Rattus norvegicus: one gene and its partner. The protein of the gene in region 1 interacts with the protein of each later gene in a pairwise test. Links are inferred from orthologs where the notes say so. Each region holds a gene or a part of one and is shown on either strand. Other genes may lie near its edges.

The links.
Region 2: the proteins of Ap3d1 (region 1) and Vamp7 interact in a two-hybrid assay, tested with the Homo sapiens proteins (2 studies listed by BioGRID and IntAct). The link is inferred for Rattus norvegicus from reciprocal best matches to the Homo sapiens genes AP3D1 and VAMP7.

The regions. Positions count from the first base shown.
Region 1 is NC_086025.1:9,641,495-9,644,994, reverse strand, and holds part of Ap3d1 (AP-3 complex subunit delta-1), read right to left. Parts: intron 2,346-3,500; coding exon 2,200-2,345; intron 1,916-2,199; coding exon 1,536-1,915; intron 527-1,535; coding exon 295-526; intron 1-294. UniProt on the Homo sapiens protein: Part of the AP-3 complex, an adaptor-related complex which is not clathrin-associated. The complex is associated with the Golgi region as well as more peripheral structures.
Region 2 is NC_086030.1:21,840,956-21,845,027, reverse strand, and holds the start of Vamp7 (vesicle-associated membrane protein 7), read right to left. Parts: upstream 2,801-4,072; 5' UTR 2,652-2,800; intron 1-2,651. UniProt on the Homo sapiens protein: Involved in the targeting and/or fusion of transport vesicles to their target membrane during transport of proteins from the early endosome to the lysosome. Required for heterotypic fusion of late endosomes with lysosomes and homotypic lysosomal fusion.

The DNA of each region.
Region 1 (3,500 bases):
TGGAAAAAGGAGAAACTCTCTCCCATCTACTGGCTCTGTTGGGGACAAGGACCTGGAAAGGGGCTCAGGGTATCCCCAGAGTGTCCTTGGTAACACCACTGGGGTTCAAGGTGCTGTGCAGGGAGCTGTGGAACCTTTAGGAGGCTACCTGACTGGAGGACCTCTGGAGCATGGGTGGGCATCCCTGTACTACTGCCGGACACATGCCAGCCCTGAAGTACCCATAGGGCATGAGCCACGGCCACTGCCAGGTTAGTCTCAGCTGTGAGTAGAATCCCCAGTTGGCAGCCTTACCCGCTCCTGCACCTCCAGGTCGGCGCTCTGCACAAACTGTGGCAGCCGCTCCACTAGTAGCTGGGTGACCTCCTGTGCCCCCTCAGTGTCGGCAGCCTGCTCCTTCTGCTGCAGGATGGACGCGTACAGCTTTACCACGTTCTGCACATACACAGCCTGGATGTGGCCGGGCAGTGTGGTGACCTTGGGCCGCAGCATGGCCTCCAGGGTTTGCTGGGGCCCCTGTAGGTGCCTGGGGGACAGGGGCTGCATGAGGGTACCGAGCATGCCCACAGGCCCATCTCACAAGTCAGTCAGGCCAGGCTACGTGAGAGCTGGGCTTCTCAGCTAAAGCACAACCTCGGGCACCTGCTCTCACTGTACAGAAGCGGGGAACCAAGAACCATGAATTTTTTTCTTTTTCTTTTTTTTTTTTTTTTGGAGCTGGGGACCAAACCCAGGGCCACTGAGCTAAATCCCCAACCCTAAGAACCATGAATTTTACAAAGGGGCGTTGTTTAAGCAACAATGGCAAAGATGTGACCACCACTAGTAGACACAGAAGGCAGGGAACCCATGTGACTTATATGGCCGACACACGGCCATTGATTTGTTCCTGGTAATGAACATTTGCCTGATATAAACGAGTCCCTGGGTTCAATTTCTAGCACCACAAAAACCAAATAACTTCTCCTGGCATCCTTGTGTTGTGCTGCCCTGTGGGGTTCAGAGGAAGCTCGCCCTGGGTCCTCAAAGAGCAACTTATACGCAGCCTCCATGGGCTGAGCTCTGGGGCAAGGGAGGTGCTGGGCCAATTGTGGGTTTTTTTCCCAGAGAGATGTGCTCCCCAGGAGACTTCTGTGACAGGCAGAGTTTACCACTTGACAACAAATGCACACCTGTGTGGGTCACAGCTGTCATGTGTCCTCTGGGCAAGTGTGCAAGGTGGAATCCGGCCTACCCACCTTAATAGTCCTGGAGCTCTAGGAGAGCAGTGGGGACAGGCTCACTCTCAGCACTGTATGCTGAGGCCTGGCTCTGAGGGTGGCAACTTGCCCAGCTTGGAAGTCACCCAAAGCAGAACAGATCTGCTTCATGGTCTAGAGGGCACTTCCCACAGCCAGTGTGACCCAAATTGGCCAAGCTACTCCATGGAAGAAGACAGATAATCACTTGGGCAGAGCTGCCCAGAACTGATCATATCGGGCAAACTGCCCACATGTCCCCCCACCAGGCCACCTCCGAGGGCCGCACCGACTCACTCCGAGAACTCCCCGCAGATCCAGGCAGCAGCATAGAGCACCTCACAGATGCCGTTGCGTTGGGTGCTGCTGGCTACCAGGTGGGCACTATCAAGCAGCGAAGACATCTGGGACACAGCAAATTTTCGAATGGCCTTGACCCGAATGGCCACGTCCAGCATCTGTGCAGCAATGAGGTGACCATGCCGGGTGCCCTCCAGTCTTGTCAGCTCCACAAGGATGCTGATGTACCACTCGAAGTTGGTGATGTGCTGGTAGTTGGACTGGCTACAGATGTCAATGATCTTGGTGAGCAGCTCGTCACGATAGGTGGTGCCCTCGGCCTTGTCCACGTGGGTCATAAGCTTCTTCACAATTTCCATCAGGTTCTTTTTGGACACCTGTGGGAGCACGGCAGACACGACCAGCCATGAATACTGACAGCCAAGATGGAACTCATGAGCCCAAGAGGGATGGCTTCCTCCCCAAACAGCAGAATTGTATCTAACTAAGGGAGAGTGACAAGACACTCTTGTACTGGGTACCCAGTCCCATTCCTTATAGCCTGGACAGGTGCCATCGGCTGACCGTAGCAGGCTCAAGCTGCTATCCCAGCCTGGGCAGGAATGAATGACCCAAGTACTTAAGTTTCACAGGCCCCCATGCTGGCCACAGGGACACAGACCATTCCATAGAGCAGGTCAAGGGCACGCAGGCGGATGGACTCGTCTTTGTCATCCAGGCACTGCAGGATCAGGTCCTTGTGGGATTGCACAGACTTGGGATGTGTCTTCAGGATTTTAGACATGGCCAGCAGCCCCAGGTACTTTACTGTGAAGACCAAGTGGCCATTAGTTTGGGGACAGCACGTGGAACACTATGATCCATGGCTGCACCAGGGGTATGTCACCATTTCTAGCCTCTGAGGTCCTAGCTAGTGCTGCCTGCAGCTAATGGCCATTTTTGTGAGCCCCACCTCACCCCAGGAAGCCGATGTGGAGGCCATGTACCCCAACCTCTCACAGCATGGTCTACAGGCACAGCCTTCTGGAAACTGGAGGAACAGGATTGTAAATCCAGCTCCGGAACATTATAAACCTCCATCTCCACAGGCACCGGCCTTCCCAAGCACACACCCACCTACATAACTATGACTGACAAAAACTTACAAATAATTTAAAAATACACATATAAAAATAAAAAGAACCCTGCTGCGATTAGTGTTGTACACCTTTCATCCCAGCACTCAGGAGGCAGAGGCAGGGGGATCTCTGAGTTTAGGCCAGCCTAGTCTACAGAGTAAGTTCCAGAAGAGCCAAATAAGGAAAAGAAAAAAATAAAGAAAAGAACCCCAAGGGCTGGAGAGATGGCTCGGTGGTTAAGAGCACTAACTGGTCTTCCAGAGGTCCTGAGTTCAATTCCCAGCAACCACATGGTGGCTCACAACCATCTATAATCGGATCTGATGCCCTCTTCTGGTGTGTCTGAAGACAGCTACAGTGTGCTCACAGACATCAAATAAGCAAAATTTAAAACAAACAAACAAACAAAAATATAACAAAAAAAAACAAAACCAGAAAAGAACAGAACCCCAAAGATGGCATGTCTGAGGACCCTGCCCACAAGCTCTAAAGGTCATTGCCAGCCAAAATGACAGTGGCTGCTGGCCCAGTGCAGGCCTCATGAGAAGTGAAGGGAGAGGCTGAAGCAGGAACCACAGAGGACGCCTGTGCACCTGAAGCCTCACTTGTGACAGGTTTTGAGATAGTCACTCATCAACAGGTGGCCCAGAGATGCTTTCCAACAGCATGGAGATGAGAGGTTGGGGTGTGGAGTGGGGATGTGAGCCCCGGGCCCTATGAGGAAGTCTGTCAGGCCTGGCTCTAAGGTAAGGACTGGAACATGGTAGACTGTAACAGCCTGCCACTTGGTCTGGTAAGCAGCAGATGACATTGACACAGCCCCCATTTTGGAGCAGGTTTAAGT
Region 2 (4,072 bases), on another chromosome or scaffold:
TTTTTCTCACTGATATTAGAGACTCATCCTTATAGCTATGAGGCAATCGACTATGGTTTTTGGATTTAGAGAAAACTGTTGTAGTTGGATGTAGTTGTGTACACTTGTGATACTAACACTTGGGAAGCAGAGGCAGGAATATCAAGAGTTCAGGGTGAGTCTTGGCAGTAAAGTGATTTCAAGCTCAGCCTGGATAGGATGGCCAAAGCAGTGGACAATGGAGATATGAAACTCAGGAAGAGAGGACGCCTACTAAGGGAATCATAACACAAAGGGAGGCAGACTTTAAAACATGCAATGAAGTATAAAGAATGAATAATATATGAATAATCACAATTGATCAAATTAGATAAGACATATGATTCTAAAAGAAAGGAATGAGTAGGTACCAATCTGTCAGCATTTTCCTCAGTATATTGTTAACATTTCTCCTTAAAAGAGGTTAAACTTTGCTTTACTCTTAGCCTCCCAATTCTCAGCACGATACCTGACAAGGAATATTTATTGAACAGTTAAGTGAACACTGGGTGCACTGAAAATACTGTAACTGGGAGATAACTTTATATTATACAGAACCTGTTAAAAGGAGTATGTATGTATGTATGTATTTATTTATTTATTTTTATTAACTTGAGTATTTATTTACATTTCGATTGTTATTCCCTTTCCCGGTTTCCGAGCCAACATCCCCCTAACCCCTCCCCTTCCTTATGGGTGTTCCCCTCCCCATCCTCCCCCCATTACTGCCCTCCCCCCAACAATCATGTTCACTGGGGGTTCAGTCTTGGCAGGACCAAGGGCTTCCCCTTCCACTGGTGCTCTTATTAGGCTATTCATTGCTACCTATGAGGTTGGAGCCCAGGGTCAGTCCATGTATAGTCTTTGGGTAGTGGCTTAGTCCCTGGAAGCTCTGGTTGGTTGGCATTGTTGTTCATATGGGGTCTCAAGTTCCTTCAAGCTCTTCCAGTCCTTTCTCTGATTCCTTCAACGGGGGTCCCGTTCTCAGTTCAGTGGTTTGCTGCTGGCATTCGCCTATGTATTTGCTGTATTCTGGCTGTGTCTCTGAGTATTTATTTTTAATATCAAACTCTCTCTTTAATTCAGGTAACATAGTTCATTGATAGTTATTCAATCGCCAACTCTTTACTCTGAGACTGTGGTGGTTTGTATATACTTGGGCTGGGGAGTGGCACTATTAGGAGGTGTGGCCTTGTTGGAGGAAGTGTGTCACTGTGGGTGTGGGCTTTAATACCCTCATTCTAGCTGCCTGGAAGTCAGTCTTCTCCTGCTTGCCTTTGGAACAAGATGTAGACCTCTCAGCTTCTCCTGCACGGTGCCTGCCTGGATGCTGCCATGTTCCCGCCTTGATGATAATGAACTGAACCTCTGAACCTGTAAGCCAGCCCCAATTAAATGTTGTCTTCTAAGAGGTGCCTTGGTCATGGTGTCTGTTCACAGCAGTAAAAGCCAGAGACAGAGAGACTCAGCAGGAAATAAGTCAATGGCAAATAAACCACATATTGTGATGCAATAACCTTAGAACTGATAGCAAGCCAGACAATTTGAAAGGAGGGAGAATGTTTATGAAAAGTGTGGCTATCAACTAAGATTACTCTTGTTGCTATCACAAGTGTTGTTCCTGAAAAATGATCTGAAGTCCAACTATATCTCTCTCACTTGGTCAGGATAGGATTTTTTTTCTGTAAAACCTTCTAAGTTTTGCTTTTACCAACACACACCACCATATTGATGTATTATTCCTATTTATCCCAGTTCCCCAAACATGTAAGTTCCTATACTAGTCACCTCCTTGTTTGCTACCAATGTATTCCATGCACTTAAGGGAGCGCCCAGTATGGATTCATTCTTTAATAAATACATGTTAAGTCCATGGCTTCCAGACGTAGTTATTCAAAGGGAAAGAAATTTTCCAAAGGGAATGGTGATACAAATCAGAGTATAAAATCCAAAGGAAAAAACTTGATAATTCATTGGTTATGAGAGTCAGAGCCATATTAGCCAAAGAGCCAAGATCACGATCAACTTGGTAAATATTGGCCATCAAGGAAAAAAACCCAGTAACATGCTCAGACAATAGGTTTGAGTGGAGATCCCTCTAGGATAGATTTTTTTAAAAATAATCCTCAAAATACTAAAGACACAGAAAATATTTATAGAAAAATTGATGACTTTTGAAAAATAATCCTGAAAATATAAAGACACAGAAAATATTTATAGAAAAATTGATTTTTGGAAGATAATCCTGAATATATATTTGTTAAGGTTGTAAGGTGGGGGGCATAGGAACTCACAATGAAGCACCAACAAGCAAAGGGAAAACATGAAGCAGGAAGTGATATCGGTGAACATGGGTGACAAGAGGTTTTTTTTTGTTGTTGTTGTTGTTGTTGTTTTTTTTTTTTTTTTTTTTTTTGGCTATAGAAGTCTGCAGAACGCAAACGAGAGAAACAACATCTTTGCACCCTGTGATGACAACTTAAAGGACACGCTGTGACACCAACCCGAGACTCCACAGCAGTGTGAAAACACACTTTGCCCAAACTGGATCTGCTCGAAAATTAGACACCAGAGAAACCAAAGCCACCCGTATCCCACCTTAGCCTCCCTCCCTCTCATCCCATTCCAGTTACCTGGCCGGGTACCCCCTAGCGGGCACTCGCGCTCCGGACTGATGGGCGCGGGTCCCCCCAGGGTCGTCCACTGCCTGAAACAAGAGATGGACGGGACCCGAGGCTGCAAGCTTCCGGGTAAAGCGCCCCGCCTACGCGTGGCCTCCTGGGAACATGAGCTCTCCTCCAATGGGAGCAGAGTAGAGGTCGGGATCCGAGGCGTTCCCACCCCCCGCACTTCCCAGGACCCGCACTGAACGCTGGGAGTTGTAGTTCTGAGTGTAATGGCGCCGCGTCTGAATTAGGTCGTATCAACAACTCATATACAACATTGAACGCTGTACTGTGATCCCAGGAAACGAGAAGATGCAAGACAACACAAGCAGTGTGTGTGTGTGTGTGTGTGTGTGTGTGTGTGTGTGTGTGTGTGTTTGTGTGTGTGAATGTGTGTGTCTCTGTGTGTGTTTGAGTGTATGTGTTTGTGTGTGAGTGTATGTGAGTGTGTGTGTCTGTCTGTGTGTGAGTGTATGTGAATGTGTGTGTGTCTGTGCATGTGTGTCTGTGTGTGTGAATGTGTGTGTTTGTGAGTGAGTGTGTGTGTCTGTGTGTGTATGTGTTTGTGTCTGTGTGTCTCTGTGTGTCTGTCTGTATGTGAATGTGTGTGTTTGTGAGTGTGTGTCTGTGTGTATGTGTTTGTGTCTGTGTCTGTGTTTCTGTGTGTGTGTGAATGTGTGTGTTTGTGAGTGTGTGTGCTGTGTGTATGTTTGTGTCTGTGTATGTGTCTGTGTGTGTCTGTGTGTGTGTCTGTGTGTAACTCTGAAATGCTACCATAGTCAAGATAAAAAACCTTCCCGTTACTGTAAACTTCACTGTGTGCCTCACCAATCATTTCTCCCATGCTTTGGCAGCAAAAATAACAGCAGCGGCAGCAACAACACTCAGCGGCAGCTACTTTTGTGTGACCTGTGTCTGCTGGGCTCTCTGCCCCCAACCCCCAGCCCAGCAAACTCTGCCTCCTGACTCTGTGTTACCAACCCTGGAGTTTTCTCTTACTTAAAACATTCCAAAGTCTCCTTTCCAACTCCACACCTCCAACCTCCTCGCCACACACAAACTCGAGAGGCCGTTCTCCAGCTTCACCATTTCATACAGAATCCTCACAAGGTTGCTACAGAAAGTACTGTACAGCCATTGCTGCATCCGCAAGGTTTGCCTCCCGCATCGCCGCCGCCTCATTTCCTTCTGCAGTTTTCACATTGCACAGACCCTTGCCCTGCACTTTTTTCTTATTCTTCTCAAACTTCTTGGTTACATCAGCCATCCCCACGGTAAGGTTGTCACCCACAGGTTGATGATTCTCATGGATTTAGGAAGCCCAGACAATACTCTTGAGGCCTGGTGTTAACTGGATAGCTTCGGTATCTAAATCTTAATCTACAATT